Linked DNA regions of Notamacropus eugenii. The protein of the gene in region 1 binds, or shares a complex with, the protein of each later gene. Links are inferred from orthologs where the notes say so. Each region holds a gene or a part of one and is shown on either strand. Other genes may lie near its edges.

What was found.
Region 2: the proteins of GNAO1 (region 1) and GALR1 are in contact, whole or in part, in a cryo-EM structure (PDB 7XJJ), measured with the Homo sapiens proteins. The link is inferred for Notamacropus eugenii from reciprocal best matches to the Homo sapiens genes GNAO1 and GALR1. Residues at the interface, in NP_066268.1 of Homo sapiens: Ser264, Asn316, Glu318, Tyr320, Asp337, Asp341, Ile343, Ile344, Ala345, Asn347, Leu348, Arg349, Gly350, Cys351, Gly352, Leu353, Tyr354; in NP_001471.2 of Homo sapiens: Thr70, Arg133, Ala136, Ile137, Ser140, Arg141, His226, Leu227, Leu231, Asn233, Ser235, Lys236, Lys237, Ser238, Ala240, Ser241, Lys244, Thr245, Thr248, Leu306, Ser307, Glu308, Asn309.
Region 3: the proteins of GNAO1 (region 1) and HRH3 are in contact, whole or in part, in a cryo-EM structure (PDB 8YN7), measured with the Homo sapiens proteins. The link is inferred for Notamacropus eugenii from reciprocal best matches to the Homo sapiens genes GNAO1 and HRH3. Residues at the interface, in NP_066268.1 of Homo sapiens: Ile28, Ala31, Lys32, Asp33, Val34, Lys193, Asn194, Leu195, Asn312, Pro315, Asn316, Lys317, Glu318, Ile319, Tyr320, Phe336, Thr340, Asp341, Ile343, Ile344, Ala345, Asn347, Leu348, Arg349, Gly350, Cys351, Gly352, Leu353, Tyr354; in NP_009163.2 of Homo sapiens: Asn69, Asp131, Arg132, Ser135, Val136, Ala139, Val140, Tyr142, Arg143, Ala144, Gly147, Ile221, Ile225, Arg228, Arg232, Thr345, Phe348, Arg349, Arg352, Val356, Leu360, Cys415, His416, His417.
Region 4: the proteins of GNAO1 (region 1) and C5AR1 are in contact, whole or in part, in a cryo-EM structure (PDB 8JZP), measured with the Homo sapiens proteins. The link is inferred for Notamacropus eugenii from reciprocal best matches to the Homo sapiens genes GNAO1 and C5AR1. Residues at the interface, in NP_066268.1 of Homo sapiens: Ala31, Lys32, Lys193, Asn194, Leu195, Glu318, Tyr320, Phe336, Thr340, Asp341, Ile343, Ile344, Ala345, Asn347, Leu348, Arg349, Gly350, Cys351, Gly352, Leu353, Tyr354; in NP_001727.2 of Homo sapiens: Asn71, Phe75, Arg134, Leu137, Val138, Pro141, Ile142, Gln145, Ile225, Thr229, Arg233, Ala234, Thr235, Arg236, Ser237, Lys239, Thr240, Val243, Val244, Ala303, Gln305, Phe307.

Annotation. Positions count from the first base shown.
Region 1 is NC_092872.1:473,622,761-473,629,608, reverse strand, and holds the start of GNAO1 (guanine nucleotide-binding protein G(o) subunit alpha), read right to left. Parts: upstream 3,013-6,848; 5' UTR 1,917-3,012; coding exon 1,799-1,916; intron 1,435-1,798; coding exon 1,392-1,434; intron 1-1,391. UniProt on the Homo sapiens protein: Guanine nucleotide-binding proteins (G proteins) function as transducers downstream of G protein-coupled receptors (GPCRs) in numerous signaling cascades.
Region 2 is NC_092875.1:205,221,619-205,228,876, forward strand, and holds the start of GALR1 (galanin receptor type 1), read right to left. Parts: upstream 3,001-7,258; 5' UTR 1,970-3,000; coding exon 1,283-1,969; intron 1-1,282. UniProt on the Homo sapiens protein: Receptor for the hormone galanin. The activity of this receptor is mediated by G proteins that inhibit adenylate cyclase activity.
Region 3 is NC_092872.1:501,065,769-501,073,699, forward strand, and holds the start of HRH3 (histamine H3 receptor), read left to right. Parts: upstream 1-4,921; 5' UTR 4,922-5,233; coding exon 5,234-5,474; intron 5,475-7,931. UniProt on the Homo sapiens protein: The H3 subclass of histamine receptors could mediate the histamine signals in CNS and peripheral nervous system. Signals through the inhibition of adenylate cyclase and displays high constitutive activity (spontaneous activity in the absence of agonist).
Region 4 is NC_092876.1:29,287,260-29,295,128, reverse strand, and holds the start of C5AR1 (C5a anaphylatoxin chemotactic receptor 1), read right to left. Parts: upstream 3,004-7,869; 5' UTR 2,916-3,003; coding exon 2,906-2,915; intron 1-2,905.

The DNA.
Region 1 (6,848 bases):
TCTGAAATCGCAAACAGGCTTCCTCCCTCACCCACCTCCCCAAGAAAGAGATTTTTATTTTCCATTGTTTTCCTGCGGGATGCAATTACTTCAGCTATTCTGTCAAGTTGAAAAATAATCATTTTTGTTTACTGCATAGCAACCCCTAATTAGGAACCTTGTGTATATGTAAAGGTGTCACAGCAAACCGACGTGGAAGCCTCACTAAACGGTCTCAAACGAACTCCAAATGGGGAGGATAACGGAAGTAGCAAAGACACAAGATCGGTGGTGGAGAATGGAGCACAAAAATCCCTGCACCTACACCTTCTAAGTCCCCTCCCCCAAATCTAAAACAAACCTGCCTTAGAACTCCCCAAGAAACGTTGGGTATCAAGAACAAGGAACAATAAAATGTGTATATTCAGAAAGAGGGTGAGACTTTTATGGAGATTATAAGATTTTCTTTCACTTAAAAATAATATCAATAAAAGAAAACATTTCTATCAATAGTCAAAATTCCAGTTAGTCTAATTAAAGACTGACCCCTTGAGTAGAAGGAGATTTGGGGTGGCTGCAAGGTTTGTTTTAAATCTGCCTTGTAGGTAGATTTAAATATAACATACCTTATTCAGCAAACAAATAATGTAAGTGCCATGGAGTTAGCCCATGTCAAGAGATCAAACATCAGGGAGGGTGGGGGCAGAGAGGAAAGAGCTGAGAGATAGAAAGCTGACATTAAGCTTAATTGACACAGGTCTTTTTGATGGCTCTGCCCTGGTTACATCTGTGCCATTCACATCAGCCTGGAAAGCCACCCACTCCTCTTCTCTCATCTTGAGCCCCCCACCCCATGGGAGTATATGTGAATGTATGTGTCCATGGGAGAGAGACAGAAGGCTAGAGATAGAGAAACCCCCACTACCTCCAATTCAGCACCAAAACCATGAACAGCAGACACTTGATTTTCCACCCAGAGCAAAAGACAAGGTCCCCTCCCCTCCATCTTCTAGGCAAGCCAGAAATAAATCCCTGCCACAGGTGCAGCTGTGAGAAGGGGAGGAGAGAGAAGAGTGGAGGATGGGGTTGGGGAGGGAGGGGATAGGGAAAAACACCCCACCAGTAGGAAATAACATTCACAATATTGCCAATAGTGATGATGCTCTGATCAATATGGCGGACATTGTCATTCACACAACTACAGCCCCCACCATCATCCTTTCTCCTCACCCCTCCCTAAAAACATCTCTCCTGGGAGATGGGGTGGAGGGAAGAGAAACACCTAAGGTGGGAAGAGAGATGGAGGGGGTGTCAAAGTGTTATGTGTTTGTGGACAAGAATTACAAACGGGGCCTAAAGGAGAGCTGGAAGAAAGGGAAAAAAATTAAAATCCCAATACAATAGGGACTTACTTCATTTGCTTCACAATGGTGCTTTTGCCTGATTCTCCAGCCCCTGTAGGGACAGACAAAAAAAAAAAAAGGAAAAAAGCTAGTCAGTGTCAGGCTAGAAGAACTGGGAGATTACACTGGGAGGAGGAAGGGAGCAGCTGGACTGAAGGATGCAGGGGATCAGCTTTTTTGGCAGAAGATTCGTGTGTGTGCAATGGCTTGGTTATCTTGTTGCAAATCTAAGAAGGGAAAGGTCTCTCTGGACTCAGGACAAGTCTTCCTGAACACAGAATAAGGGAGAAGGGTGAAGAAAGGGGTGAAATACAGAGGTGGCGGTGGGGGCGTTGTTTGGAATAGGGTGCAGCCTGGCTGTTCTGGGGGTCTGGCGGAGAGGGGTGGGGGTGAGGAAGTGGCCAAGGCTCTCTTACCCAGCAAGAGTAATTTCACGTCTTTGGCGGCGCTGATGCCATCCTCTTTGAGGTTTTTCTCAATCGCTTTGCTCCTCTCCAAGGCGGCTCTCTCCTCTGCGCTCAATGTACATCCCATCGTGACACCCAAAACAGCCCGCACGCCTCGGCTGGCACGGTTCCCCTGCTCGGCTTGACCCCCCACCCCACCCCCCCAGAAATATTTATTTCTGTCCTTTAAAAAAAATCGCTAATTTTCTTTCCTTCTTTCTTGTATTTTTTTTCTTTTAAAAAGAAATCAAGTTTCCCAAACACAATAAAAATGCAGCCCCTCCCCCCAAAAATTCGCAAGGTGGATTTCAGGCTACTGCTCCCTTTTCCGGTCACCTGCAGGAGGAGGCTGGAATCGGGGCTGGGGTCGGGGCTGGGGTGGTGAGCTCTAGAGACAGGGTTGCGGGTCTCTCCCAGCTGCTGGCGAGCAACGCATCCGAAAAGAGGCAACCACCGCCGGGGCTCCGGAGCAGCGGCGGCGGCGGGGGAAGCAGCGGCGGCGGCAGCAGCAGCGGCGGCAGCGCGAGGCTGCGGACTCCGAGGAGTATTACAAAAAATTAAAAATAAAAATAAAAATAAAGGGCAGAGGCGCTCGATGGAGCCAGGAGCCGGAGGAGGGTGGGGATGGGGATGGGGATGGGGGGGCAGCCCGGGTGGATCCTTCGGTAGAGAGGATTATTAGGACGGTGATTAGTATTGCATCCCCTCCCCTTCTCTTTCTTCTTTTTTTTCCTTTTCCCTCTTCTTTGGGGGGCTTTGCAAGCGGTGGGGAAGGGGGGAAGGGGGGGAAAGGTTTCTAGCGGGCGGTGGCGGCGGCGACAGCGCTGGCTCCCAGAGATCGCATCGTTCAGTGGATCCTAATGGAGAGAGAGAGAGAGCGAGAGGAGAGAGAAGAGAGGAGAGGGAAAAAAAAAGAAGGGGGAAAGAGAGCCTGGGAGGGAGGGGGGGATGAGAGGGAGGGGGGAGGGAAGGAAAAGAGCGGAGTGCGCGAGTGCGCCAGGGGTTCTAGCCCACACCGCACAGGCTCGCCGGCCTCAATGACGTCAGCAGGGACGCGCGCCTGCTCGCCCTGGGACTCGAGAGCGGGCGGCTTCGCCGGGCCCTGGGGAGGGGGCGCGAGCGAGCGAGAAAGCGCGCGCGCGTGTGCGCGCGAGGACTCAGGAGAGCTCTCCTCGCCATCCCCATCCCCGACGTTGTCGGGAGAAGACGGAGGGCGGAGCCTGGGGTGCAGGCGGGCGCGCGCGCGCGGCCTCGGCTCCCCCGCCCCGCCCTTCCCTCTCCTCGTTCTCAATGGGAGCGCTGCAGCGCAGAGGCAGTGTAGCAAGGTGTAGGGAGGGGGTCGGGAGGATGGAGGGGGCAGGGGGAGGCTGGCGAGGCGTGCGCGCCTCCTCCCTCCTCTCACCTCCTCTGCCCCCTCGGCTCCTCTGCATTCTCCTTCGCTTCCTCCGCTCCTTGTCCGCAGTCGATGTGCTAGCGGAGGCCCAGCCACATCCCCCAAATGGAGGCCCTTTTTAGGGCCCAAACGACTTTCTTTCGCGGGGTAGTAGCTGAAAGTTTTCCATTATTTTCTGGTCAGGACGTGGCTTTAGTCGAAGGCTCCGGGCCGTCTGAAGGAAGCCCAAGAGCCACGAGGACCTCGGGGCCATCGCGTCCAGTCCCTTGTTTTGTGGATGAGAAAACCAAGGCCCGGAGGGACCTCCGGGACCAAGATCCTTATTTGACAGATGAGAACACTGAGTCCCGGTGCCACCCAGTCCCAACCCCTTGTTTTATCGTTAAAGAAACAGGTCCAGAGGGACCCGAGAGACCATTTAGTCCAAATCCCTTTCCCTCCTTATTTTACAGGTGAGGAAACTGAGGCACAGAGAGATGAAGCGGTTTAGGATCACAGAGCTGGAATTCAAACCTAAGCCCTCTGATTTACAGTTCATACAGCACTGCTTGCTGGAAGGAACCTCTGATCATCTAATTAAGCCTTTAGAAGGAAAGTTAGGTCCAGAGTGGGTAAGTAAGGCTTGAATTGTCAGAAGGAGAAGGGATCTTGGATCATAGATTTCAGCTCATTTCTTACTGATGGGAAAACTGAGGTCTAGAAAGAAGAGACTTGCTGGAGTTCTGTGGCAGAGCAGACTCTGGAACCCAGGTTCTCCTGGCTCCCAGTCCAGACTTCTTTCCATTACAAGTTGCTAAGAAGGTAAAGACATTCTTCCGCATAAGACATTGAGAACATCAACAAACATTTATTAATGCTAATATATATATATATATATATATATATATATATATATTACACTTGGAATAGTACAAGATTTGAATAATACAGAATTCCTGCCCTCAAGGAATTTCTAGTCTAACTTAATGCTACATACCCAGAAAATATTTTAATGACTTTAAAAATGACCCCTTTTGATTTAACCATTTGGTTTGGGTGGAGTGGATTTAATTTAGAAAAATTCAGGGAACTTAAGTCTTCCCCCCAAAAGGAGGTTTTTTGATGTAGATTCTTAGTGAAGAAAAAAGCTACTCTCCTTGTAATGGCTTCCTCCTTTAATCAACTCTTTCTTCCTTTCATTTTTCTCACCTGATAGAGATTGAATAATAGGCCAATCCATCAGAATAGTTAATTGAGCCAATGTTGTACAAACGTGAATATTCTCCAAAATAACTGGGCTTGTTTTCTGAAGAAGCTCATTCTACATGTAAAACTGCTTTTAATAATTAGTTCAAAGAGATAGCCTCTCCAGAAGAGACAAATTTCTCTTGGAGAACTAAACCATCAGGAAAGGTTTCAGGGGGAGTATAAATTAGTGGAAACCTTGCCTAGAACCTTTGGGCATCATCATGGTTCTAAAAACAAATCCATTGGCTTCATTGCAATAATAAAAGCAGATACTCCTGTTTTGGAAATATAAACACTGATAACCAAAATAAAGGTCTGCACCCAGAAGAAAATACTTGTGTTTGGGACTTGAAGAATTCTAGAATATTGGCTTAGATATTGTGGAAGATTTATGAAAGGACATGGACAAGAATCACATAGCGTGAGAAGTCATGAATGGATTGTATTGGCAGAGGGAGGGGTTCCTAAATCTATTTGATCTCAGATACATTGGACCATTGAAGTAGATAGATAGATATAGATCTACTGTCTACATCAAAGCAAATATTTCCTAGCACAGGCATATCTTATTTATGAAATGGCTCACATCCTCAAATGCTGTATAACATGTATGTTATTCAAGTTGTATGTAAGTGTATTGCATTAATGGGGAGGTAAGGCTATTCAATAAAGAATTCTATGGTAAATCCTTTTGTAAAGTGAAGATTTAGACCTTTATTCATCATGTTTGCTTAAAGTGTGAGTACACATGTATAGTTCTGGTCTTCAGAAAAAACCACTAGTCCTCATAGATTATAAATTAGAATTCAATTACACTTCTCTTTAAGAGAGTTTGCTGCCCTCTTCAAAGGATACTAAGGTGGTGGTGCATATATACTAAGCTGGAACCTTTTTTTTAGTACATCTTATGAGAAGAAACTAACTAACCCGTATGGAGATGCATTTTAAGAATCATGGGATCATAGATAGTGCTCAAAAGGACCTCGGAGAATAAGGACTAAAAAATAGGATTCCATTATTCCATTGTGGGAAATGGGAACAGTTTATATTTGAATTAAAGATCTGATTTGCCTCCTGTCACTTATTCATCAACATTATTTCTTGGGAAAGACGTTGGACTGAGAATCAGAAGAGACAGATTCTACTCCAGACTATTCACCAGTTATGGACTTGGAGAAGTTCTTTCCTTCTTTGGGCTTCATTTTGCTTATTTTTAAAATGAAGAGGTTGGACTAGATTGGCCTTTCCCATTCTAAAGGTCTATGATTTTTGTTGTTATTGTTTGAAGTTATAGTGTAAGCCTACGAGAACATCTTGTTGTTCTTAGTCCTTCATACTCTGACGAGAACTAATGATACCATGATATTGGGGTCAAGGTACAGTGTGTTCAGCTATGGCTGATTAGTCCAATATGAGCTTGGAAGGCTCTGCCATAGGTTGGGTACAAATAATCCATTTGAACATTTGGTAGGAAGATGTCTCTAGATTCGTGCATCTTACATTTTCCTTTGTGCTACTTCATAGAACACAGCATCTTCTTTGATTCAGGCATGCCATGCTGGGTAGTTCTATGCCAGAATCTCCCACGTCTCATTATGAATACTGAAGTTCTTCAGAGGCACCTTGAGAGTGTCCTTGTACCACTTCTTCTGACCTTGTTGTACCGACTTCCTAGTTGTATGCCTGTGAAGCCTAGACATTTGAATTGTTTTAGGAAGAGTCTGAAGATTATCAGGCAGGATAAAGTAGTGAACACTGAGGTCTTCTGTCAAGGTGTATTCTGTCAAGGTATTCAAACTGTGCTACAGAGAGTGGAGTTCTGATAGGCTGACCATGTAGTCCAAATGCCAAACCCACACCTACCTAAAAGACTATTTTTTGGAGAACTCAAGGCAAGAGCTCTTGAGAACATCCAATTTTCATGAAAACCCCAAAATATCCCCAGCTTCCATGATCCTTCATTCCTCATCCTAAAGCTGGTAGAATAGAAACTTGTGTTTTGAGACTTGATTTGGACTTTTTTTAGGGGATGTTTTCATATGAATAAATATGTTTGATTGACATATTTTCTTTTTGTACGGTCATCCTACTATCTTAATTTAAAGTACTTGGTCCTTATAAAATACTATACCCATGGAACACTTTATAAAATAACATGCTGCATATATTTTGTATAATATATAATATTTGTAAAATAACCCCAGAGGAGCTCACAGCCCAGAAATGGGGTACAGGCATACCTTGTTATATTGTAGTTTGCAGATATTGCCTTTTTTTTTTTTTTGTTACAAATTGAAGGTTTGTGGCATCCTTGAATCAACCAAGTTAATTGGTTCCATTCTTCCAACAGCCTGTTATCACATCCTGTCACTGTCACATTTTGGTAATTCTTGTAATATT
Region 2 (7,258 bases), on another chromosome or scaffold:
ATCTGTACTCTTCTCCTAGCCAGGCCTTTTAGGTGGTTGGGTGCTCAGAGTATGGATTACTGGACAGCAAAGGAAGAGTCCATAAGTAGTTCACCAGTAGGATTACAGTGTGATTGAGAGTTGGAATGACCCTTAGAGGGCAGAAGACAGTTCTCTGGAATCTCTGACTCCGTTTAGAGTTCTGAAAAGAAACACTTTACCTCCTTGGTTCTCATTCTCAATCTGTGAACGAAATAAAGCCTATAAACTCTCCTAAGTCCCCCTTGGCTTCTTTCAATCTAGAAGCCCGATGGAATCTGAATCCAGTTCCCACAGCAGAAGATGGTGGGCTGGCGACCAATACAATTATGCACCCTTTCTATAGACCCCAACAGGGGCCGAATTCTTTTGTCACTGAATCCTCTCAGTGAGGGAGCAAGCAAGGCAAGACAGGATTTTCCGGTGACTCAAGAGACATTCTTGTCGTTTCAATACGGTTAACAGAGATCAGTCTCCGTCCTACCACTTGTTTTGATTATGCCGTTGTCTGTCAACAGCACAATTGTTTCATGATGGAAACACTAATTGGGCTTTTGCTCTGGGACTGCAAAAGAAACAAAACAAAGAAATACGAAAAAAAAATGTCGATCCTGCCTTCAAAAATCTCTGCAGCAAGCAGTTTTAACGTTTCCGACGCTCTGTGTTTGCATTTGATGGAAAATAGTTTTCAGCTCTCCAGCTTGTTTGATGTGTATCTCACACCACACACGTTCCCCCAAAGTGAAGCTAGTGATAATCAGACACTGAAACTAGGGGAAAGAACGTTTTAAAGCATTACAAAACGCGAAGGAGTTTTGAGTGAGGGAAGGAGAGGAGAGATCTGCATATTGAGCACGTTTGGGACTCTTGCACCGCTCACTTATCAAAGCAATGAAAGGTTTTATAGAATAGAAACCTTTGCAGCAGCAGAAAGCAAACTTTTGTAGGAGGACTCTGGTATAGTTTCCTCAGTCTAGGCTAAGATTTAAGTACTAAAATATTCATCAAAGCTCATACAAAGGTGGTACCTCTAGCTTAGAGAATTCTTGGGCAAGGAAAACAACGGTCAAGTAGGACAGAGATGAGAGACAGGATCTGTGGACAAAGTGATAATGGGAAAGAACACAGAATAAAAGCAAACCCATGCTATCCAGTCAAGCTTCCTACCGTCTCCTCTCCCTCCACCCCAGCTTCTTCTTCCCTCTTTTCCTGTACTTCCCTTCACCCCACTCCGGTCCTGGCCCCACCACGCTCCACCTCCCACCTTAGCGTAGCAGAAGGAGATCAGCAGCAAGGGGAGCAGGTACCCGAAGACGAAGGTGCAGACCACGTAGATCTTCTTGTGCTGCTTGTTGGGCCACTGTTCCCAACAGAAGGTCTGGTTGCTGATTTCTCGGTGGAAAAGGCGCTGGTGGTAAGCCACGGGAGAGGCCATAATGATCGAGAGAGCCCAGATGACCCCCATGCCCACCAGAGCGTTACGGGAGACCCGCAAGGAGGAAGAGCGCCTCGAGTGGACAATAGCAACGTAGCGGTCCACGGACATGGCAGAGAGGGTGAAGATGCTGACCAGCATGGACACGGTGAAGAAGTAGTGGGTGAACTTGCAGATGAAGGCGCCCAGTACCCAGGTGGGCAGCGCGTACACGGTGGCCTGGAAAGGAATGCAGAAAAGCAGATATGCCAGGTCAGCTACGCTCAGGTTAAGGATGAATAAGTTTGTGGTGCTGCGGGGTTTTCCTGGCTTACTACGCGCCAAAACTGTGATCACCAGAGTGTTGCCCAACACTCCCATGGCAAAAATCATCCCGAACACCACCAGTGTGATGAAATTCTCGATGCCAAGACCGAAAAGGGGTCTGAGATCCCGATCTGTCAGCTCCGGTTGAGTCCCATTCCAGCCCTCCTCAGCTCCTTCACTCTGATTTTCCATAGCGAGGTGGGGCTCCATGGTCTAAGTTTGAGCCCAGAGAACAGAAGGGAGCACCTCGGCTGGAAACGAGGAGAAGAGACCTTGGCTGGAGGAGAGGGTGAAGGACGTGGAGGGGCTTGGCTAAGCCTCGGAAACAGTAGGAAGTTCTTTCTAGGAAGGTTGAGTCCCTCCAACGTGGAGAGAACTGACGGTAGTACCTAGGCTGTATTTGCCTTTCTTTTCTTTCCCCAGAGATCAGCCCAGTGCCAACCACATATTAGGAGTTTAAGAAATGCTTGTCGACTGACTGAATGAGTACGCAGAGGCAGGCTAATAGGATGACATTTTTTCCTACTGACGAACTCCTGACAGCAGCAGCGACAGTTTCTGCACTTCTAAAAATAAGAACTTTGCCCCTAATAGAGTTGAAGCGATCCAAAAGCTAGACGTGGACTAGAGTGGAAAAAGCCGGCAGAGGAGGAAGGATTCTAGGGACTGAGATGTATCCTATCCGCTGTCTGGTGCTCGGGCAGCCACTTAGTGTGGAGTTGGAGGGATCTGATAGCGAGGAATTCCTCGGGTGACTCCGTGCCACTCTACCGGGTCCTGCAGCTGAGGTCCAGGCTCTGTCTCATTCTTTTTTCAGGGTCCTGCAAAGCTTTGTCTTTTTCTTCTCCCTGAATAGAGGTTGCGCGAAGGTGAACCTGTTGCTTCTTTCTGTTCGGTCCCGCTTTGCCCTCAGGAGCTGCAGCAGCCGCAGGCGGAGGACAGGCGGAGAGATGGCGCTGCTTGAGCAGCGGCTGCACACCGACTCTGGGAGCTGCCCAGTAGCAGCCCCCGAATCCCGGGAGCTCTCTGAGATTCCAGCTTGCTGCTCCCCCAAACTGGGCTCTTTCCCTCTTTTTCCCCCTCCTGGTTTAAGAGACTAATAGGAGGGTGAACGGTCAGCTAAAATGGACTCTCTCCACTCCCCTTTCCCCACTGCAAGTGATGTGGGGGACATGAATGTCTCAGTTCCAGCCAGAGGAAGCAGCCAACGAACCCACTATTTTCCCTCCCCTCCTTCCTTCCTTCCTCTCTCCCTTCCCCCCTCCCCCTTTATACCTCCCACACCCAATGAAAGGCAAATAGCACCAGCGGAGTCCTAGGCTCCCTCTCTCCTTTCTCACGGCTGCCCTTTTTTCTTTTGGGTTCTCAGCTTCAATTTCGTCTGTAAAATGAGGATAACACCTGAGGCACTGACCTCACTTAGTTACTGAGAGGCTCTAATGAGATAATGTACTTAAAGAATCAATTTGCAAACCTTATGGTACCGTGCAAATGCAGATTATTATTTAGTGACAATCCTCGGAGTGGAACCTAGGTCTACTAATTTATAGTCTCTATACTTTTCTCATTTACATCACCCTGTCTCTTCTGTTAAAAAAAAAAAAAAAAACTTTGCCCGTGAAATTTCTTCCATTGCCAGAAAATTTGAACTGATTCCTCCCACTCCCACCCCGGTATTCATGCCTTACTACTTCATAGACAAGATAACTCCTTAATTGACTGTTAAAACATATTCACAAATGCCCTTCGATTTTAAAAAAAAACAAAACAAAAATCTGAAAGGAAAAAAGCAAAATATTGAATTCTTCTCAGGACTCCTTCCTGATTTTCTTTAGCATATACTGCTTTCTACTAAACCTCAGCACGTGGGTATGAGTGAATTTGCATGACTATATTCATTGTTTTATTTTCAAATATTATACTATATTTGATTTTATTACAGTACTACATTTTAAAAATACAAGGCTTACTATATCTCACATATGAAATTTTAACTAAAATGTAATTTAAGCCTATATCTCCAAAGTGACAATATTAGAATTGTATTAGACTAGAGTTCATCTAGTTACAATCTATATCTGAAGTACATATGCCAGCTATGACAAGCCTAACAGAAGGTTCCCCATTTAAAGAAGTTCAGTTTCAAGGAATTCAGAAACTTCCAAGGCCTGGAATTACATTTTGGACAGCTCTAATTATAGGGAGATCTTCCTTATGAAAGTCAAAATCTGCTTCCTTGCAGCTTCTACCCACTTGTCAAGTCAAGTCAACAAGGATTTATTAAGTACCTGTTTTGTGCCAGGCACTGAGCTCAGGAAGCACTGGAGATACAAAGGCAAAAGCAAAAAATAAACAGACAAAACTCGTTGCTTCTCTCAAGGGGTTCCCTAATAGGTGAAACATTATGCAAACTATGTAAAAACAAGCTATATATTGGAAAGATTTAGAATTATCTCAGAGGAATGGCATAAGCAGGGTCTTGCCACTTTTCCATTTGGAAACCATTCAATTATTTAAAGACAACTTTCATATTCCTCTTAAATCTTCTCTTCGGGATAAATATACTTAGTTCTTTCAGCTAATCCTCAAATAACACATTTTATACTAATCTCACTGCTTAATCACCATCCTTACCAAAATGTTTTAAATTAATGGATAATAAGACATGCAAAAGCTTACGATCATCTTCTATATAGTCACTAAATTTTGGGCAAATATTTTTAAATGAACTAATGTACTTTCTTGCAGAATTGACACACAAAGTAACTTCTTTAGTGCCTTCAAATATATGCATTAAACAATATGAATTCACACTACAAACTTCCCAGCTTCCCCCATCTTTCTACCCTTATCTCTAAAATCTCCCCTCTCCCATGCCTTAATAGACAATCTTAAGAGAATTGTCATGGCCAAAAATTGATTCACTTGGTGATTGATCTTCTACTGATCAGACTCTCAACCCCTATGTAACTGCATCTGATGTACTTACAACTTGTTGGGACTTGCTTGGGCAGTGAGGTGGTGCCATGGACTTAGCAATAGGCTTAGAATCAGGAAGAGTCCTCTTTATGAGTTTAAATCTGGCCACATACACTTACTAGTTGTTCACTTAACTGTGTTTGCCTCAAATTCCTCATCTATAAAATGAGTTGGAGAAGAAAATGGCAAACCACTCCAATATCTCTGCCAAGAAAACCCCAAAAAGGGGTAATGAAGAGTCAGATACCTCTGAAATGACTAAGTAATGAAGGACCTACTAAAGCTTGTCTTTCACTGATTCTATAGCAAACTTTGATTGATTACAAAGTATAGCTTCTATAAATGATAACTTTCAAAATGATTTCTAATAGAGCTAGAAAGGGCCTTAGAGGCCACCTAATCAACTTTATTTTAGTAATAATAGCTAACATTTATGTAGAACTTACTATGAGCCAGGCATAGAGCTAAGCAAGTTACAATTTGATCCTCATAACAATCCTGTAAGGTAGGTTCTATTATTATCCCCATTTTACTGATGAGGAAACTGAGGTAAACAGTTTATTTGCCCTGGGTCTCACAGCTAATAAGTGTCAGAGGCCCATATGAACTCAGGACTTCCTGACTCCAAGCCGGACACTCTATCTGTTCTGACATTTTACAGATGACAAACTGAGCCCAAAAGATATTAAGCAACTTGTCCACAGTCACACAGGGAGTAAGTAGCAGAACTAAAATGTAAACTTAGATCTTGTAGCTCCAAAATCCAGTAGTCCTACTATTGTACTACAACCTATGTTTAACAGATCCTTAACATTTTTTCCCTTTTTTTGTTCTATAAGATACCAAACCATCCGATATTTAGAAACATCCGGAGAACTGACTATATCTCAATATTTGATATCATGTATGAGCAACTTCTTTGTCCTTCTAAAATGTTTAACTAGCCCAGAAGCTCTGCTAGTTCAAATTTTGTGCTTTTAACAGGCTTATTCTTATTTTCTTTCTCAAATACTCATTTGTTATTTTTAATTACTAGTTATTGAATGACTCCTATAGCACAGTAAGACAGCAAAAGTTATTATACTAAAAAAATTTAATTGCTGTAGAATATGGCCATGTGACCATGTTCTATAGTAATTAGGATTATTAAAATTAGATAGATCTCTATGTATTCTATCCTAACAAAACTTTAGAGAAGATATATAGAGATCTATTAGATTTTAATTCATAGGTGTCTGAAATCAGTAAGGTTACATTCTTTTCCTTCCCTGTTCAAATAAGTAGTTAAAAAGCCATACACTCTGCATTAATATCTATTGAGTAACCTATTTGAGTTAGCAGTATTCCCAAAGCATTGCTAAGGACCAGCAAATTGTCATACCTGATCTTCTAAGTAATGATTTCTTTAAAAAAAAATTTAATATCTGCACAAAATCTTTTGTGATGCTGGTCATTCAGCTAGGTGATTAAGAAATGTCAAGCTTTGAAAAGAAGCAAAGTGAAAATCTCTAAGAAGGGGGTCTAGGAGGAATGCTATTGAGTTGAAGTAATAATTATCCAACATTTGGTATTTCACTTTGGTGCATTACTCTTCTTTGAAAGTGTAGCTTTCGTCAAGGAGAAAATATTGCAAGCAGTTAGAAAGAAGCAATTCAAGTATTGTGGAAATACAATCAGGATAACACAAGATCTAGCAGCTTCTACATTAAGGGATCGAAGGGCATGGAATAGGATATTCCAGAAGTCAAAGGAACTAGGACTAAAACCAAGAATCACCTACCCAGCAAAACTGAGTATAATACTTCAGGGGGAAAATTGGTCTTTCAATGAAATAGAGGACTTTCAAGCATTCTTGATAAAAAGACCAGAGCTGAAAAGAAAATTTGACTTTCAAACACAAGAATGAAGAGAAGCATGAAAACGTGAACAGCAAAGAGAAGTCATAAGGGACTTACTAAAGTTGAACTGTTTATATTCCTACATGGAAAGACAATATTTGTAACTCTTGAAACTTTTCAGTATCTGGGTACTGGGTGGGATTACACACACACACATGCATACACGCACACACACATAGAGACAGAGTGCACAGAGTGAATTGAAGAGGATGGGATCATATCTTAAAAAAATGAAATCAAGCAATGAGAGAGAAATATATTGGGAGGAGAAAGGGAGAAATGGAATGGGGCAAATTATCTCTCATAAAAGAGGCAAGCAAAAGACTTATTAGTGGAGGGATAAAGAGGGGAGGTGAGAGAAAAACATGAAGCTTACTCTCATCACATTCCACTAAAGGAAGGAATAAAATGCACACTCATTTTGGTATGAAAACCTATCTTACAATACAGGAGAGTGGGGGATAAGGGGATAAGCAGGGTGGGGGGGATGATGGAAGGGAGGACATGGGGAGGAGGGAGCAATTTGAGGTCGACACTCATGGGGAGGGACAGGATCAAAAGAGAATAGAAGTAATGGGGGACAGGATAGGATGGAGGGAAATATAGTTAGTCTTATACAACA
Region 3 (7,931 bases), about 27 Mb from region 1:
TTAGCAGAGAGGGCCAAGGATATATGCACACTTGCAGGAGTTGAAGTCATGTTTAGAAGTAAGATTCAATTAAATTAGATTAGACAGACATTGATTTAGTACTTATTTTGCACAAGGCATTGTACATGCCTTGTACATGAGGACATAAAAGTTAAAAGTGGCACAATCTCTGCCCATGAGAGTGCATTGTCTTCTTGGGGCCTGAGGGTGGGGGAGGAGGTATGTGCCTAAATACATTTACCCATTCAACAAATATTAATCAAATGCTCATTACATGCAAGACTCAATGATAATCAGGAAAAGATAAATTTTTAAGTAGCATGGTTCCTGCCATCAAGTTGCTCACAGTCTTCTAGGAGGATATCGTATGGAAAAGAAGTATAATACAAGGTAGAATGTGATAGAGACAAAGGAAAGATCCAGACAAAGTGGTCTGTAAAAATTTGAGGAGGAAATTCTAATGTGACAAATGCTTAGGAGAGGTCAAACAGAGAGGAAGGCAACACTGGGAAGGGGTAGATCATTACTAGGGCAGCTAGGTGCCACAGAGGATAGAGTGCCAAGTTTGGAGTCAGGAAAAGTCATCTTCCTGAGTTCAACTCTGGTCTCAGATGCTTACTAGCTGTATGACCTAGGTCAAATCATTTAAGCTTGTTTGACTCAGTTTCTTCATCTCTCAAATGAGCTGGAGAAGGAAATGGATAACCACTCCAGTATCTTTGCCAACAAAACCCCAAGTAGGATCATGAAGAGTCAAGACACAACTGAAAATGACTGAACAACAAGACCATTCCTGTCCGAGAACTTGGAGAAATGATCATGGAGTTGGAGGCACCTGAGTTGGGGCCTGGAAAGAAGAAAGGGGTTGCAATAGGTACTCAAAGAGGGAGAAGGGGAGTCCATTACTGCCATGGGAAATAGCTTGAGTTTATGAATTGAGTGGGGAGACGGTATGAAAGAGGGGAAATGGGGGAAGACATTGGAGTAGTCAGATAATTGAAAAAAACAGATTGAGTGAAGGAGTAATGTGAAATAAGACTGTAAATCCCCTCTACCCCCATTTCAAATCTATTTCCCCCCTCCTCTGGCTTCTGACCACATATAATCAAAATCATGCAAGTGAACACTGTCTTTTGTGATCTCTCATTTTGTAACAGTGCATAGCCCTGTTCCAGGTTCTATAGGGGAATAGCTAGAGGACACAATTCTTGCTCACAAGGAGTTTACAACCTTGTTGGGAGACAAAAATGACATAGAATTGGATTTGGAGTCAGAGGACCTAGGTTCAACTTCTCTAGCCCTGCAGTTTACTAGCTTTGTGAGATTGGATAAGTCAGTTAAATTCTTAGTTCTTCAATTTCCTTAATTGCAGAATGAGTGCATTAGACAACATGACTATCTAAGGTCTTTTTAGGATGGCCAAGTGGAAAGAGTTCTGGGTTTGGAGACAGTAAGGTTTCAAATCCAAGTTCTGCTGCTTACTACTTTTTGATGAGATTTTGTGTAAAAATGCCTTGTGTTTCTGATAAGAATTAAAAGATCAGCACTATCACCTCCCCAACCCCAGTCCAGAGCATGGGTTGTGAGAATTAAGTACTGATTGCCCAACAAGGGGAAGAAAGGTGGAGATAAAGGATGGAGGGGTCCAGAGTTAAGGTCTTATCTCCCCCTTCCCAAAAGGATAAGGGGATGATCTACTAGAATGGCAAACCAAATATCCACATATTCTGCTTACCAGGGCCCCACAGAAGAGGTGCAGGCTTCAGAGAAGGGTGAAAGTCAGACACAGGAAACCTTTCCCAACTCAGAGAACCAAATCGACTATCCCAGAGACCCAAAGAACAATTCTGTTGTCTAAAGCAGGCTGTGAGAGCCTTTAGAAAGCTGTGGAATTGTTCACTCCTCCTGAGGCAAATTGTCCCTCTTCCCCTGCCTGCTGCCCTTGTTCCTAGGCTTGCCTCCAGATGCTTCTCCAGTTCATCCTTCACCCAGCCCTCTATTCTACTCTCTAACCCTTAGTCCTCACCACCACTACCTTCAGTGACTTCTCAAAGCTATGCCTTCAATACAGTCTTGTCAAAGAAGAAGTCAGATTGTTCAAGGAGTGGAGATGGAGGGAGCTCAGAGAAGAGGGGAAAGAAGAATGAGAGAAAAGCAAAAGCTAAATTTTTCCCCTTTATAAACACAGATCACATATGGTTAGGAGTAGGGTGGGAAGCCACATATTAAGTACTGATCTTTCTAGAAGTCAGTCTGCTTACCTATCCATTTTGTGTGCATTGGTCAGTCTCTTGTGTATTTCTGTTTTTAAGTGTGCACATGCTTGTCTTTATGTGTGTCTCTGGCTTGTATATGGTTCAAAGTTCTCTCTCTCTCTCTCTCTCTCTCTCTCTCCCCACACACTCTTACATTTTCTTCTCCCTCCATATTTTTTCTAGGACTGGGTGTGTTTCCTCATTTTTGCACTGGAGGGCTGGCTCCCTATCACTGTGGTTAATCCTGAAGCCTGAGGTTGACTAGCTCACAGTGACCTCACCTGTCGGTATCCAGCAATGACCTCAGGTCTTTCTCTGTGTAGTTGCCTATCCTGAAGGAAGCAGTGGGGTGTGAAGAGCAGGCTCAAAGAATTGGGGAAGTATCAGGGCCAGGCCCTGTCTCTGTGTAAGGGAGAACAGCCAAAGATCCGGGTCATTATAGGAGCAGCTTAGGTGGGCCAATAGCTGTGTAGGAGGGGATGAGGGTGGGGAGGGAGACAATGGGTCCCCACTCTTCCACCACTGATCCTATAGTCAAGATCAGCAACTCCTTCCTCATACTCAAATTTGGTTTCTCTCCAATGGTGAGAGGAGGGAAGCAAGGAGCAAGAGCATGATAGAATGGTAAAGCTTGGAAGAGATTATCTTTCCAATTGCTCAATCTTGTACACAAGGAAACTGAGTTCCAGAAGAAGTTACTCCCTTTTACACCCCCAGGTCCTACTGCAGAGAGGAACAAGAAGCTCCCTTTCATTCCTAGACTCCTTATGGGAGCCTGAGGAGGTTTTCCTGTCAGAGTTGGGGGTGAGAAACAGGCAGGTATGAGTTTGAGGACTTTGTAGGGCTAGAAGGTCCAGAGCCTTTGGAGAAGGAAGCACTGGACAGTAAAAACAGAGGAGCAGGCTGTCCCGAGTCTGCTAGGGAGAATCAGAGCTCTCCGTGAGGGTGTCTTCGCAATAGCCAGACCTTCGATCCTAAGGCAAGGATTAACTTACTTTGCTGCACTCGTGGTAGTAATTCTCCCCTCAGAAATGAAAACACTGAAAAAAATCTTTCCTATTTTAAATATCTCATGTCTTCTTTATTCTTCTACTGCCTTCTATTCTACCCGGCAACCACTACTGATTTCCTCATACCCCTATCCCCCACCAAAAATAAAAAATAAAAAAGAGAAGTGAATCCTCTGTTCACCTTCTCCAACTTCAAATGCAGCTGTTGGAGTCACAGCTGGATCCCATCTGCTGAGTGTACGTGAGTGAAATAGGAGACACAGGAGAGGACACAGGATAAGCTGGGGCTCCCGGACCTCCTTCGAAGGCTGTCTGGGGATCAGGTTGTGGAGTGAGGGGGAAGTTAGAATGGAAGATGGGAGAAGAGACAATGACTGACCCGCCTCCCCCAAATACACACAGTCGGTGGAAGGTAGGAGTGAGAGAAGGACTGGGGGAGGAACATAGCCTGACGCGAAGCCTCAGTGTACTCTCATTGCGTGACGGTGGGGCTGGTGCACCCGTAGTCACAGAACCACGGACCCTAGGGGAGAGGCCTAGGGTTTCCGTCCTGGCACTCAGACAGAGGGAGAACTTGAGGAGGGGGTACACATATGGTCCCCACAGGCATTCTCCGACAGAGTATTACTCTGAATCCCTGCAAACCGAGCCCAGTTGAGTCTTCCTGGGGTCCTGAGTCTTGGAAGGCAGCTACTACCCTAAGTCCAACTAGGACTGTGGGGAGCTGTCCAGGGTTCCCAGACCTCTCCGCTCCTCCCTATTCTCTCTGGCTGGTTCTGCTTATTGGGTGGGGCGAAGAGAGGAGAGCCAGGCGGGCGGCGTGCCTGAGCAGCGCGCCGCAGCCAATGGAAGAGGCTGCTGGGACGAGTTGGGGGTGGGGGGTTGGGGTGAGCTTGCGGGCTTGGGAGCAGGCTGAGAGCGCACTCTTGCTCCGCGCTCCGCCCGAGCGCACTGGCTGCCGGCGAGGGGAGCGCTCAACCCAGTTCCAGGGCAGGTAGTAAGGGGCGCTCAGCCTGGCGCGGGTATAGGAAGTAAGGAGGGTTTTCAGCACGGTGCACCAGCAGGCAGTGAGTGCAGCTCAGGTCGGTGCCTCCGAACACTGTAAAAGGGGAGCTCAGACCCGTGCACCTGCAGACAGTGACCGGGAACATAGCACGGTGCAGCAGCAGACAGTAAGAGGGGCTCTCAGATTGATGCACGAGCAGTGAGGGGGGCCCTCAGTTCTTTGCACCCTCAGACAGAGAAGAGTGTTCAGCCTCGTGCAGTGGCAGACTGTAAGGGGCGGGGAAGCTCAGCCTTATATACTCTCAGACAATGAGGGGGGGCCCTCAGCACCGTGCACACGCAGACGGTAAGGAGAATGCTCAGCTTGATGCACATGCAGACAGTCGAGGGGGCTCTTAGCCTAGTGCAAGAATACGCAGTGAAAGAGTGCTCAGCCTGGTACACAACAGGCTGTGAAGGGTCTCTTCCCTAGTTGCTCTGCCAAACCGTGAGGGGGGAGGGGTACTTCTCTAGGCTTAGGGACCAGCAGTTAGTGGGGGAGGGGAGGAAGCGTGCAGCTCCGGGTATACGATCACTCTCTCCAACCCTGCTCTGGCCACTTGGAGTGCCTGGCACACTCAGGTTCCCTTCCCCCTCCCTCTCTCGCTCTAGATTGCTGAGCCTTCCTGACCCTCTCTGGCCCACCTCTGCCAGAGGCTGCGGAGCCAGACGAGGCGGGGCTGCGGACACCAAGTGGCGGGAGGCGGAGCCCGAATCTTAGCCCTTAGCAGCCCAAAGAGGGTGTAGCATCGCCAAGACACCGCGCCTTGGAGACACCTGTTGCCAACACCCTCCACCCCGTTTGGGCCGCGTTCAGTGGACTGGCCCATACCCTAGAGGTGTGTAGGTTCTGTTCCTTCGAGGCCGGGCCTCCCTCTGCCCGGTGGGGCTGGGGTGCATGAGGTGGCGCTCTCTCGGCTTGCCATGGAACGCGCCCTGCCCGACGGGGCCCTCAATGTGTCTTGGGGACCGAGTGCTGGAGAGGCTGCAGCCCCCGGCTTCTCTGCCGCCTGGACCGTGGTCTTGGCTGTGCTGATGGCGCTGCTGATCGTGGCAACCGTGGTGGGCAACGCTCTGGTCATGCTGGCCTTCGTGGTGGACTCCAGCCTCCGCACGCAGAACAACTTCTTCCTTCTCAATTTGGCCATCTCTGATTTCCTAGTAGGTAAAGTACACCCACCCTGGGGTAGGGGGAGTGGGGCAAGTGACCCACCGGCGGCAGCTGAAGACCTCAGGGGGAGCGGGCTTCTTCGAGCTGAGGCTGCTGTGGGAAGGGTGTGAGACGCTGGGTGCAGGGCTCGGGCTATGTGTGTGGCCTTGGACCCTGGTGCAAGAAGAAGGTTAGGGGTAGCATTGAGGCTGGGGCCTCATGGGAGAGAGGTACCAGCGGCAGGTTTATAGGACCCTTGGGAGCAAAGGACATTGGGCAACTGGAGAAAGGGAAACCATAGTAGCTAGGGTCCCTGAGGTAAAACTCACTAAGTCTTCCCGGAGTCCTCTGTGCTGAGTCTTATACACTACCTAGGTGAAATTGAGTAGGACAGTGGAAGAGGAGAAGACCGGGGGTTCTGGAAATTTGGGACAGAAGGGCCTGGATGGGAAGATGTAGGCGGAGGTTCCCCGTGCTGGTTCCTCTTCTTTCCTGCTGGGAGAAAAAGCGAGAAAACTTAAAGGAATTTAGGAATCAGAAACAACAGACTTATGTGGGAGGGAGGACGACTTAGTGCCCCCTCCACTCCAGTAACTAGAGGAACTAAAACAGTGGAATTGTGCTTCAGTTCCCTAGTCATGGGTCGTCCTACCCCGGATCTCTTCCATTTCTTGGGATATAGAATGTGTGTGCTTGTCACTGGGAAAAATATCCCCGACCTTTGCTTCTGAATGGGGGCGGGGCGTGGGAGGGAGGGCTGCATAGATGCTTCTCTCACCTTTCCTCCTCTTGAAGTTGCCCGAAAATTGGGGTCGGGGTCGAGGGTGCCGTACTAACATTTCTCTGCTCCTACAGAGGAGGAAGTGATGGGGAGGGAGAGGCTTTGAGCTCCAAGGCCCGAGGCAAGGAAGGGGGGGAAGGGATACAGTAGCAAGTTGTGTAATGTTTGACATTTATATAGGCTTAAAAAGGGCTTCATCTTTTGATCCTCGCAATCCTCTGAAGTAGGTAGTATACATTATTATCTTCATATTGCAGAGGGGGAATCTGAAACTTGAAAAGATGAAGTGACTTGCCCAAGGTCACCTAACTAGTAAGCAGGAATTAGAACTCCGGTCTCCGGAATTCAAATACAGTGGTTCTCTCCACAGTCATTAGCAGGTGCAAATGCTTTATGTCTCCACCGAAACCAGTGCCCTAGAAAAAAAAAAATTCTTTGTCCACATGTTTTAAAAAACAGAAGGAGGGCACTGTTCTTGATGGTTGGTCCGATTGGGTAAGAAGGGGAAGTGGGGGAAGGGGCAAGTCTCAGAAGAGGAAATCAATGAAAACTTTGCAAAGTAATCAGAGAAAGTGGAGAAAGGGATGCTTCCAGGAGCAGGAGACAGGGGGGAAAGGCATGGAGGTGCCTTTCTGGGAATGGTGAGAAAGAAATATTTGCGACTGGCTGACAGAGGAGACAATTCTCCTCCCCCTGCTGTTCACGGAGACAATGGGTTTAGGGAGAAACTCCAGCTGGTGTAGGAGTCTGAGGAGCTTGAGTCTGTTGCTCCTACTGGCTGGAAGGGAGGGGCTTGCACGGATTAATGTTTGGGGGGAGGAGCAAAGCTTTTCTGTTGAGAGCCCCACTTGCAGGACGGAACTAGATGCATCAAACCTGCCAAGACACTTGGTGTGATCTGAAGGCTGCCACAGCCATATGGTTATCACCTATTGCCATGGGATAAATGTAGCAGGAAAGGGGCCAAGCAACTTAGTGGTGGCTAAATGCCAGCGATGAGGGACTTATAGATTCTCAGCTACTGGAATGGTATTTTTTCCCATTGATACAGCAAGAGGTGGTCATTTTATCCTTTAATTTTCCCTGAGAGGGAAAATGTAGGCTAGAAAGAATTTCTCCTGCTTCCCTCCCTTTTGTATCTTCTCCAACCTCCAGCCAATCTCAAGGACCTGGAAAAACTGAGCTGAACGTACTGTAAAGCAGAATCTACTTCAGCTCTTCAAGGCCTGAAGCTTCAACCCCTCCCCCAGCAGAGGGCAACAACCATTTATCAAACAATCTGGGTCCCTAGTTTGTTCTGGGATTTGGAATTTCCTTTCTGACTTGTTTAGCTGCTAGATGACTGGCTCAAACCTTGTTCCCCTGGCCATTCTGTGGTTGAGTCCTGAATTCAGAGGCCTTTCCTTTATACATTAGTATAAAAATGGAAAAGAGGCTACCAGGTATCAGGCTGAAGAAGTCCTGGGAATCCTGTGGCTGCCTGACCCTGTAGAGTGGCATGAATAAAACTCATATTTTTCATAGCATTTTAAGATTTACAAAGCATTTCCTCCCACAACAACCCTGTGAAATATGGAAAAAATTCCCCATTTTACAAAGGAAAAGACTTGGGCTCAAAGGAGTTAAATCACTGGCCCATGGTCACATAAGGCAATATGCATCATAGCTAAGTTTCAAACCCAAACCTTCTG
Region 4 (7,869 bases), on another chromosome or scaffold:
CAGCCACCACCCAACACCTTGGACCAATGACCCCCAAATAGGTCTCCTTGACCCAAGTCTCTCCCATTCCTTCTCTGCTCAGCTACCAAAGTGATTTCCTACAGTACAGATCTGACTATGTCACCGTCCCCAAAGTCCATTCAAAAAACTTCAGTGACTCCCTAGTTCCTCCAGAATCAAAAATTACTCTTCTGTTTGGCATTTTTCAATACCTTTGTCCACTCATCCCCGACACACCTCTCCTGTTTTATTGCTCTTCTCCTCCATAAACATTATGTGCTGCCATGTTGGACCTATTACTGTCCCTTATAACTTGTCCTCCCTCTCCAGTCCCTATACCTTTGCAATGGCTGTACACCATTCAGGGAATGCACTCACTCACTCAATTAGCATTTATTAAGCTCCTGCTACGTGCAAGGCACTGCGCTAAATGCTCTGGATATAAAAAGAGGCAAAACCCCGTCCTTGCTCTCAACCAGCTTACAATCTGATGGGGGGAGAGGGAAGTAACATGCAGACAAATACACACAAAGCAAGCTATATACGGGATAAATAGGAAATAATCAACAGAAGCACTGGAATTAAGAGAGGTCAGGAACAGCTTCCTGTAGAAGACAGAATTTCTCTCCAAACTCCTACTTCCCTCAAGACTCAGCTCAAGCTCCCTTTTCCATGTGAATTCTTTCCTGATCTGCACCAAAAAAAAAAAATCAACTTGTAATCACTTTACTTCTATACCTAGGCATGGCCAGACTATAAGCTTCTCGAGGTCAGGAAATGCTTCCACCTTAGTTTTTGCTTAGCCAACATCAGCTCCTTAATAAGTTCATCTTGGTTGATTGACTTGGGGGAAGGAACACAGAACTCTTTGTGTGTTGGACCCAATAAGTAACTTCATGGCTAGCACCATACATACCCCAATGATGGCACTGAAAAGAGAAGTGAGACCTAGCTGTGCACAAATATTCCTTTGCAGCAAGAACTACAGACAACTTTTGTCTAATCAATGGAAAATTGCCAAATTGATCATGTTATGTTTCAAGGAAGGGAATGTTATTGTGCTACCATTATCACAGCTGGCATTCCTATAGAGCCTTCTATGTGTTAAGTGCTTTACAAATATTCTCTCATTTGAGACCCACAACAACCCTAGGAGGTTGGTGTTGTTGTTATTTCTATTTTACAGTTGAGGAAACTGAGGTCAAGTGACTTGCCCAGAGGTCTGAGGTGGGATTTGAGCCCGTGTCTTCTTCCAGATACCAGGCCTAATGTTCCATCCACTCTGCCATCTAGTGGCCTGGTGAAGTAGAACACTCCACCTCCAGGTACATAATGTTCCAGTAACGGGACACACACACACACACACACACACACACACACACACACACAGAAAACATGGAAACAAGGATGATATGGGTGCTGCTATGTGAACATCAATACTCACATCTTTGGGGGGAGGGTTAACTAACTGCGAATAGCAGAAAACTTGCAGAGGAAACCTGCCATCTGATAAAGGGCTGGACTGGGTTGGAGTCAGGAAGACCTGAGTTCGAACCTCTCTTCTGAGCCTGACTGGCTGTGAAAGTGCAGGATAAAGGTGTCCCCCCCCCCCCCCGCCCCGAGTCATAGACAGTACCAGTTTCTTTGTAGGAAGGAGATATGAGGCAGGAAGGTTGATGAAATTACAGCTCCTTGCATAACCATCTCCTTCTTTCCACCCTCCCCTTCCCCCTGCCTCGAAAGCCCCCTATACTCCGTTTTCCCCTTTCTACAGCCAAGCACCATCTTGTCGGGCTGTTTCGTCTTTCAGGTTATTGCTGTGTTATTTAATTTAGTTTTTTTGTAGTCGGGGTTAGTGATCAGGGTTAGGTCATGGATGGAGCCCATACCTATGAATTCAGCCCAGGAAGGAAATTCTGGTAAAGAGGTTTACCTCAACAAGGCAGCTCAGCAACACCAATCTGAGGGATACCCCAGGGGATTTGAGAGCTGAAGGGACTTTGCCAGGGCCACACACCACTAGGTATCACCGACAAAGGTGGTCCTCTAACCACTAAGCCATGCTATTTTTCTTCACTTCTTATACTGTTGTTTCCATATTTGAATATCTACACTCGTCAGTGGAAATTAAAATGTGTTTTTAAAAAGAGAGGCAGAGAGAAGGAACCAAGAAAGACAGAGAAAGAGAATGGAAATGGAATGACCGAAATGGAGGGGAGAATGTATGACATGGGAGAGACTGGAGGGCAAAGACATGGTGAGACTGACAGGCAGAAATAGAAGCATCCAAGGAAGGAAGGAAGGAAGACTAGGAGCTGGGAGGAGACTGAGGGACAGACACAGGGATCCTGGGGGATAAAAAGGGGGACAGGGGGAGGGAGGAACACAGAAAGGGGTAACAGGACCAGAGGATGGAGATGAAGGGGCTAAAACAGAGGAAGACTGAGAGGGAAAAGTAAGGTGAGGGTCAGAGAAATGAGAGACAGAAACAAGGAGATAGAGAGGGAAGAGGGGACAATGAAGGGCATAGATAAAGGGAGACAGAAATGGGAGAGAGACAGATATAAAGGGAAGACTGAGGGACAGAGATGGGGAGGCTGAAGGGACAGAGAGAGTAGGAACTAAGGGGCAAAGAGAAGAGACTGAAGGGAAAGAGGACAGAAAGGAAGGATTGAACAGAGAGAGGGGAGACAGGGACAGAGCAGGAAAACTGAAGTGACAAAAGGGGATACTGAGGGACAGAGAAAGGAGACGAAGGGATATGGTTAGAGCGGTATTGAAAAACAGAAAGGGAGAGTGAGAGACATAACTGAAAGACAGAGAAAAGTGAAGACAGTGACAAAGGCAGGGAGGAGACTGAAGAAAGGGAGGGATTACAGAGGAGCAGAGAGAAGGGAAAACTTACTTGGCTCCATCTCGGTCCAGTAACGGTGGCTCTGAGCTCAGCTCTTCCTTTTTTATCAACTGGAGCTGCTCTGGTTTATAAGTGAGGGAGGGCAGAAAAGGGGGAGAAGAGGAAACACTGGCTTAGCTCCTCCCAAGGGCTCCCCTGATCTCAGATGTCCAGTACCCAAAAGAGCCTGAGAGCTCCCTCTCTGGCTGTTGTAGTAGAAGTGTAGCTGACCCTTGCCAGTGACCCAGAACTTGAGCCACTGGGCACATCTCCTTCCCCATGGGATGGCAGTGGTGGTAACTAAAGAGTCAAACTAGGAAGAGTTCTGGAAGACAAGAAGCTGTGAACCAGATTTTAAAAACAGGGGAGGACCAGGGTGTGGGAGGTAGGCTAAGCTGACAAAAGGTAAAGGAGCTTTGTAAAGAAGGAGAATGGGCATCAAAATGCCAGTGTTCTCTTGACAACTATACATGGAGGGGATGGGTGCAGCTTTATCTGCCTTAGAGACAAAAATCTCCATTCTCTAGGAATCTCAGCTAGATCCAGCTGTCCCCTAATAGCTTTTTTTTAAAATAAGTAATATTTTGGGGCAGAGCCAAGATGGCAGATTAAAAGCAGGGACTTCCTTGAGCTCTCCCCCAAACTCCTCCAAATACCTATAAAAATGACTCCAAATAAATTCTAGAGCAGTAGAAGCCACAAAATGACAGAGTGAAACAAATCTCCAGCCGAAGACAACCTGGAAGGTCAACAGGAAAGGTCTATTGTATTGGGCTGGGAGAGGAGCACTGTCCAGCTTGGACCACACCAGCACAGACAGGCCAGAGCAGGCCTCAGGAGAATGAATCACTGACAGCTTCAGCGTTTTCCAGATTTCTCAATCCCAAAGACAACTTCTCAACATCAAAGACAATTTAGAAGGTAAGTAGGAAAAGTCTGTCAGACCTGTGTGAGAGGAGCGTAGTCAGGTCCCAGCCCCAGGGTGATGGCAGTGGCAGCAGCAGCAGCAGGGCATGCATTGGGAGCTCTCAGGCTCACAGATGGTGGGGAAATTGAGTGACTGATCAGAAGGGGATTTCAGGGATCTTTTTTGCTGGTACTGAGGAAGGATTCTCTTGTTTTGCCTGTGCTTTGATCTGGGTCACAATCCTGGGTGGTGCTCCTGGGGTGAGGAGGAGCACTGGCATGGCAGACCTTGTGGTGGCTGTGGGGAGGAGAATCCTCCTCACAGTTCCAATGCAGAAAAGAGTGCTTGAAGTCACTCACAGACCAGAGCACAAGCCAAAAGAGAAGTAAACACCTCTCCTTTGATCACACCACCTTGGAAGAGCTGAAAATTTACAGGTCCCTATCTCTGAAAACAGCTGCACAAAACCCCTGAAGCTTGGGACTTGGTGTACACCACCACCACCACTACCACCCCAAAGCAGAGTCCTGCCTTGACAAAGAGATTAAAAAGTCAAGTAATTGGCTTGGAAAATGAGCAAACAGAGGGGGGAAAATCTGACTATAGAATCTTACTTTGGTGACAAGGAAGATCAAAACATACAACCAGAAGAAGACAGTGAAGTCAAAGCTCCTACATCCAAAGCCTCTAAGAAAAATATGAATTGGTCACAGGCCATGGAAGAGCTCAAAAAGAATTTTGAAAATCAAGTAAGAGAAGTAGAGGAAAAATTGGGAAGAAAAATGAGATGAAAAATCAAGAAAATCATGAAAAACAAGTCAACAGTTTGCTTTTAAAGGAGACCCCTAAAAATGCTGAAGAAAGTAACAACTTAAAAAATAGACTAACCCAGATGGCAAAAGAGGTTCAAAAAGCCAAGGAGGAGAAAAATGCCTTAGAAAACAGAATTGGCCAAATGGAAAAGGAGTTCCAAAAGTTCACTGAAGAAAATGATTCCTTAATAATTAGAATGAAGCAAATGGAAGCTAATGATTTTTTGAGAAATCAAGAAATTGCAAAGAATTAAAAGAATGAAAAAATAGAGGACAATGTGAAATATCTCATTGGAAAAACAACTGACTTGGAAAATAGATCCAGGATAAATAATTTTAAAATTATTGGACTACCTGAAAGCCATGATCAAAAGAAGAACCTAGACATAATCTTTCAAGAAATTATCAAGGAAAATTTCCTTGATATTCTGGAACCACAAGGTTAAATAGAAACTGAAAGAATCCACCAAGCACCTCCTGAAAGAGATCCCAAAAAGAAAAATTCCTAAGGAATATTGTAGCCAAATTCCAGAGTTCCCAGGTATATTGATAATGCATTTTTGCTTATTGTTAATACAATTTTGCCTCTTAATGGAAAGATTTTCCCCATCCATTAATGGACCTGGGAAGATTTGTAGCAAAGTCCACACCTTTCGTTAATGAGGCACTAATTCTTTAGGATTGTGATGTCCTCTGAGTACTAAGTACTCTGAGATGAGGTTTTTTTGGGGGGCTTACTGATTAGAAGTGTGTGTGTGGCCAGATGAGACTCTGGGAAGCTAAGGAGTCCCTGGCTTTGAAAACCCAGATATTGGTGCTTCTCTCTCTGGTAACTATGTATGTATGTAATAATCAGATAGCTGGATCTGTCTGTTGATCTATGATGTATGTATTGCTTATGTCAGACAGTTGGAAGCATGTCTGTTGATTTTGATTTCTCTGTATTTTCTCTGAAGTTCAGGGTGTTGGCTTTTCCCCCCTGAACTAAGTGAATGATACATGTGCTTGATTAAAGTGGTTGTTGACCCCTCAAAAGTTACTTTCCTTTTATAAAAGCAAATCAAAGAACCTGTGATAGCAGGCCCTCCTGTGTTTGTTGGGGTGCTTTCTGTTACACCAGGTCAAGGAGAAAATATTGCAAGCAGCCAGAAAGAAACAATTTCAATATTGTGGAAACAATCAGGATAACATGAGCTTCTACATTAAGGGATTGGAGGGCTTGGAATATGATATTCTGGAGGTCAAAGGAGCTAGGATTAAAACCAAGAATCACCTACTCAGCAAAACTGAGTATAATACTTCAGGGGAAAAAATGGATATTCAATGAAATAGAGGACTTTAAAGCATTCTTGATGAAAAGACCAGAGCTGATTAAAAAATCTGACTTTCAAATATAAGAATCAAAAGAAGCATGAAAAGGTAGATAGGAAATAGAAATCATAAGGGACTTACTGAAGTTGAACTGTTTACATTGTTACATGGAAAGATGATATTTGTAACTCATGAGATTTTTTTCAATATTAGGATGGTTGGAGGGTACACACATACACACACATGCACACATATGCATATGTGTATATATGTACATATTTGTGTATGTGTACATATGTAATGTATACATATACATATATAGACATATATATAGACAGAGGGAACAGGGTGAGTTGAATGTGAAGGGATGATATCTAAAAAATAAAATTAAGGAATGAGAGAGGGATATATTGGGAGAAGGAGAAAGGGAGAGATAGAATATAATAGGGGAAATTATCTCACATAAAAGATCAATAAAAAGCTTTTAAAAAGGGGAATGAGTGAACCTTACTCATCAGATTTCACTTAAGGAGGGAATAACAAACACACTCAATTGGATATGAAAATCCATCTTACCCTACAATGAAGTAAGGGGAAAGGTAATAAGAGAGGGGGAGTAATAAAAGGAAGGGCAAATGAAAGGAAGAGATAATCAGAAGCAAACATTTTTGAAAAGGGACAGTGTCAAAGGAGAAAACAGAAAAAATGGAGGGCAGGATAGGATGGAGGGAAATACAGTCTTTCTCAACTGTTATGGAAGTGTTTTGAATAACTACACATGTATAGCCTATATCGAATTGCTTGCCCTCTCAGTGGGGATGGGTGGGGAGGGAGGGAAGAAGGGAGAGAATTTGGAACTGAAAATTTTAAAAACAAATGTTAAAAATTTTTACATGCAACTGAGAAATAAGACATACAGGCAATGGGATATAGAAATCTGTATAGCCCTACAAGAAAATAGAGGGAAAAGGGAGGAAAGAAGCAGGGGATGGTAATAGAAGGAAGGGCAATTTGGGGGAAGGGGTAATCAGAATATATGCTGTCTTGGAGTGGACAGAGAAGAGAGATGGGGGAAATTTTTAACTCAAAATCTTGTGGAAGTGAATGCTGAAAACTAAAAATAAATGAATCACTAGAAAAAATAGGCAGTTTTTAAAATTTGTATTTTAAGTTTAGTTACTTAGAAAAATTCAGTTGCCTTTGCTTCTTTCATTTGATGAATAAAAAATAACTTCCTTTAGGACTGAATATTCAATAAACGTTCATTGTAAAAATAAAAAATACAATTTCCTTGGTGTCCAGCGTGTAATCAATGGCATGTAGTGCTTACACCTGTGTTAGGAATGGCTACTTGGGGCTGGGAGAGACCCTCCAGAGACTGCACACACGCATAATTTGGGCATGCCAGAGGTGAGTGATGTGGTTCGTGAGCAACCCTGGGACCCAGGGAGGTTCAGCGATTTTCCTCAAGCCAAAATCGTCACATATCGCGGGTGACTTTTCTCATCAGATGAGGGTAAGGGGTAGACAGTCAATATGCCCCCAACGCCACCCCCTTCTCTCGTCCCCTACCATTTAAAACAATCGCAGCGCCCTTCCCTCGGGTATCCTTTAACTTCTTTTGCCAGAGGAGCCTGTGATAGTACAGGTCTAGATAGGAGGGCGGGGGGAGGGGGAGGAAGGAGGGTACTCGGTGAGGAGGGGGGAAGGGCAGTCTCCCTGTGGGCTTCCAGCCTCCTCATCCTCCAGGAAGCTGGAGGCAATCCCAGCCTTCCATCTTCATAGGCAGAAAATGAGCCCGTTTCTTGTCTCACTTGTTGAACAGCAACCTCCGTAAACTATTCGACCTGTTTCTTCTGCAAAAGTTGAGATGGGGCTGGGCCAAATGAGCTCAGTTATATCCCGCAGTTTATTGTACCGCAAGGTTTCCTCCCCACTTGGAGATC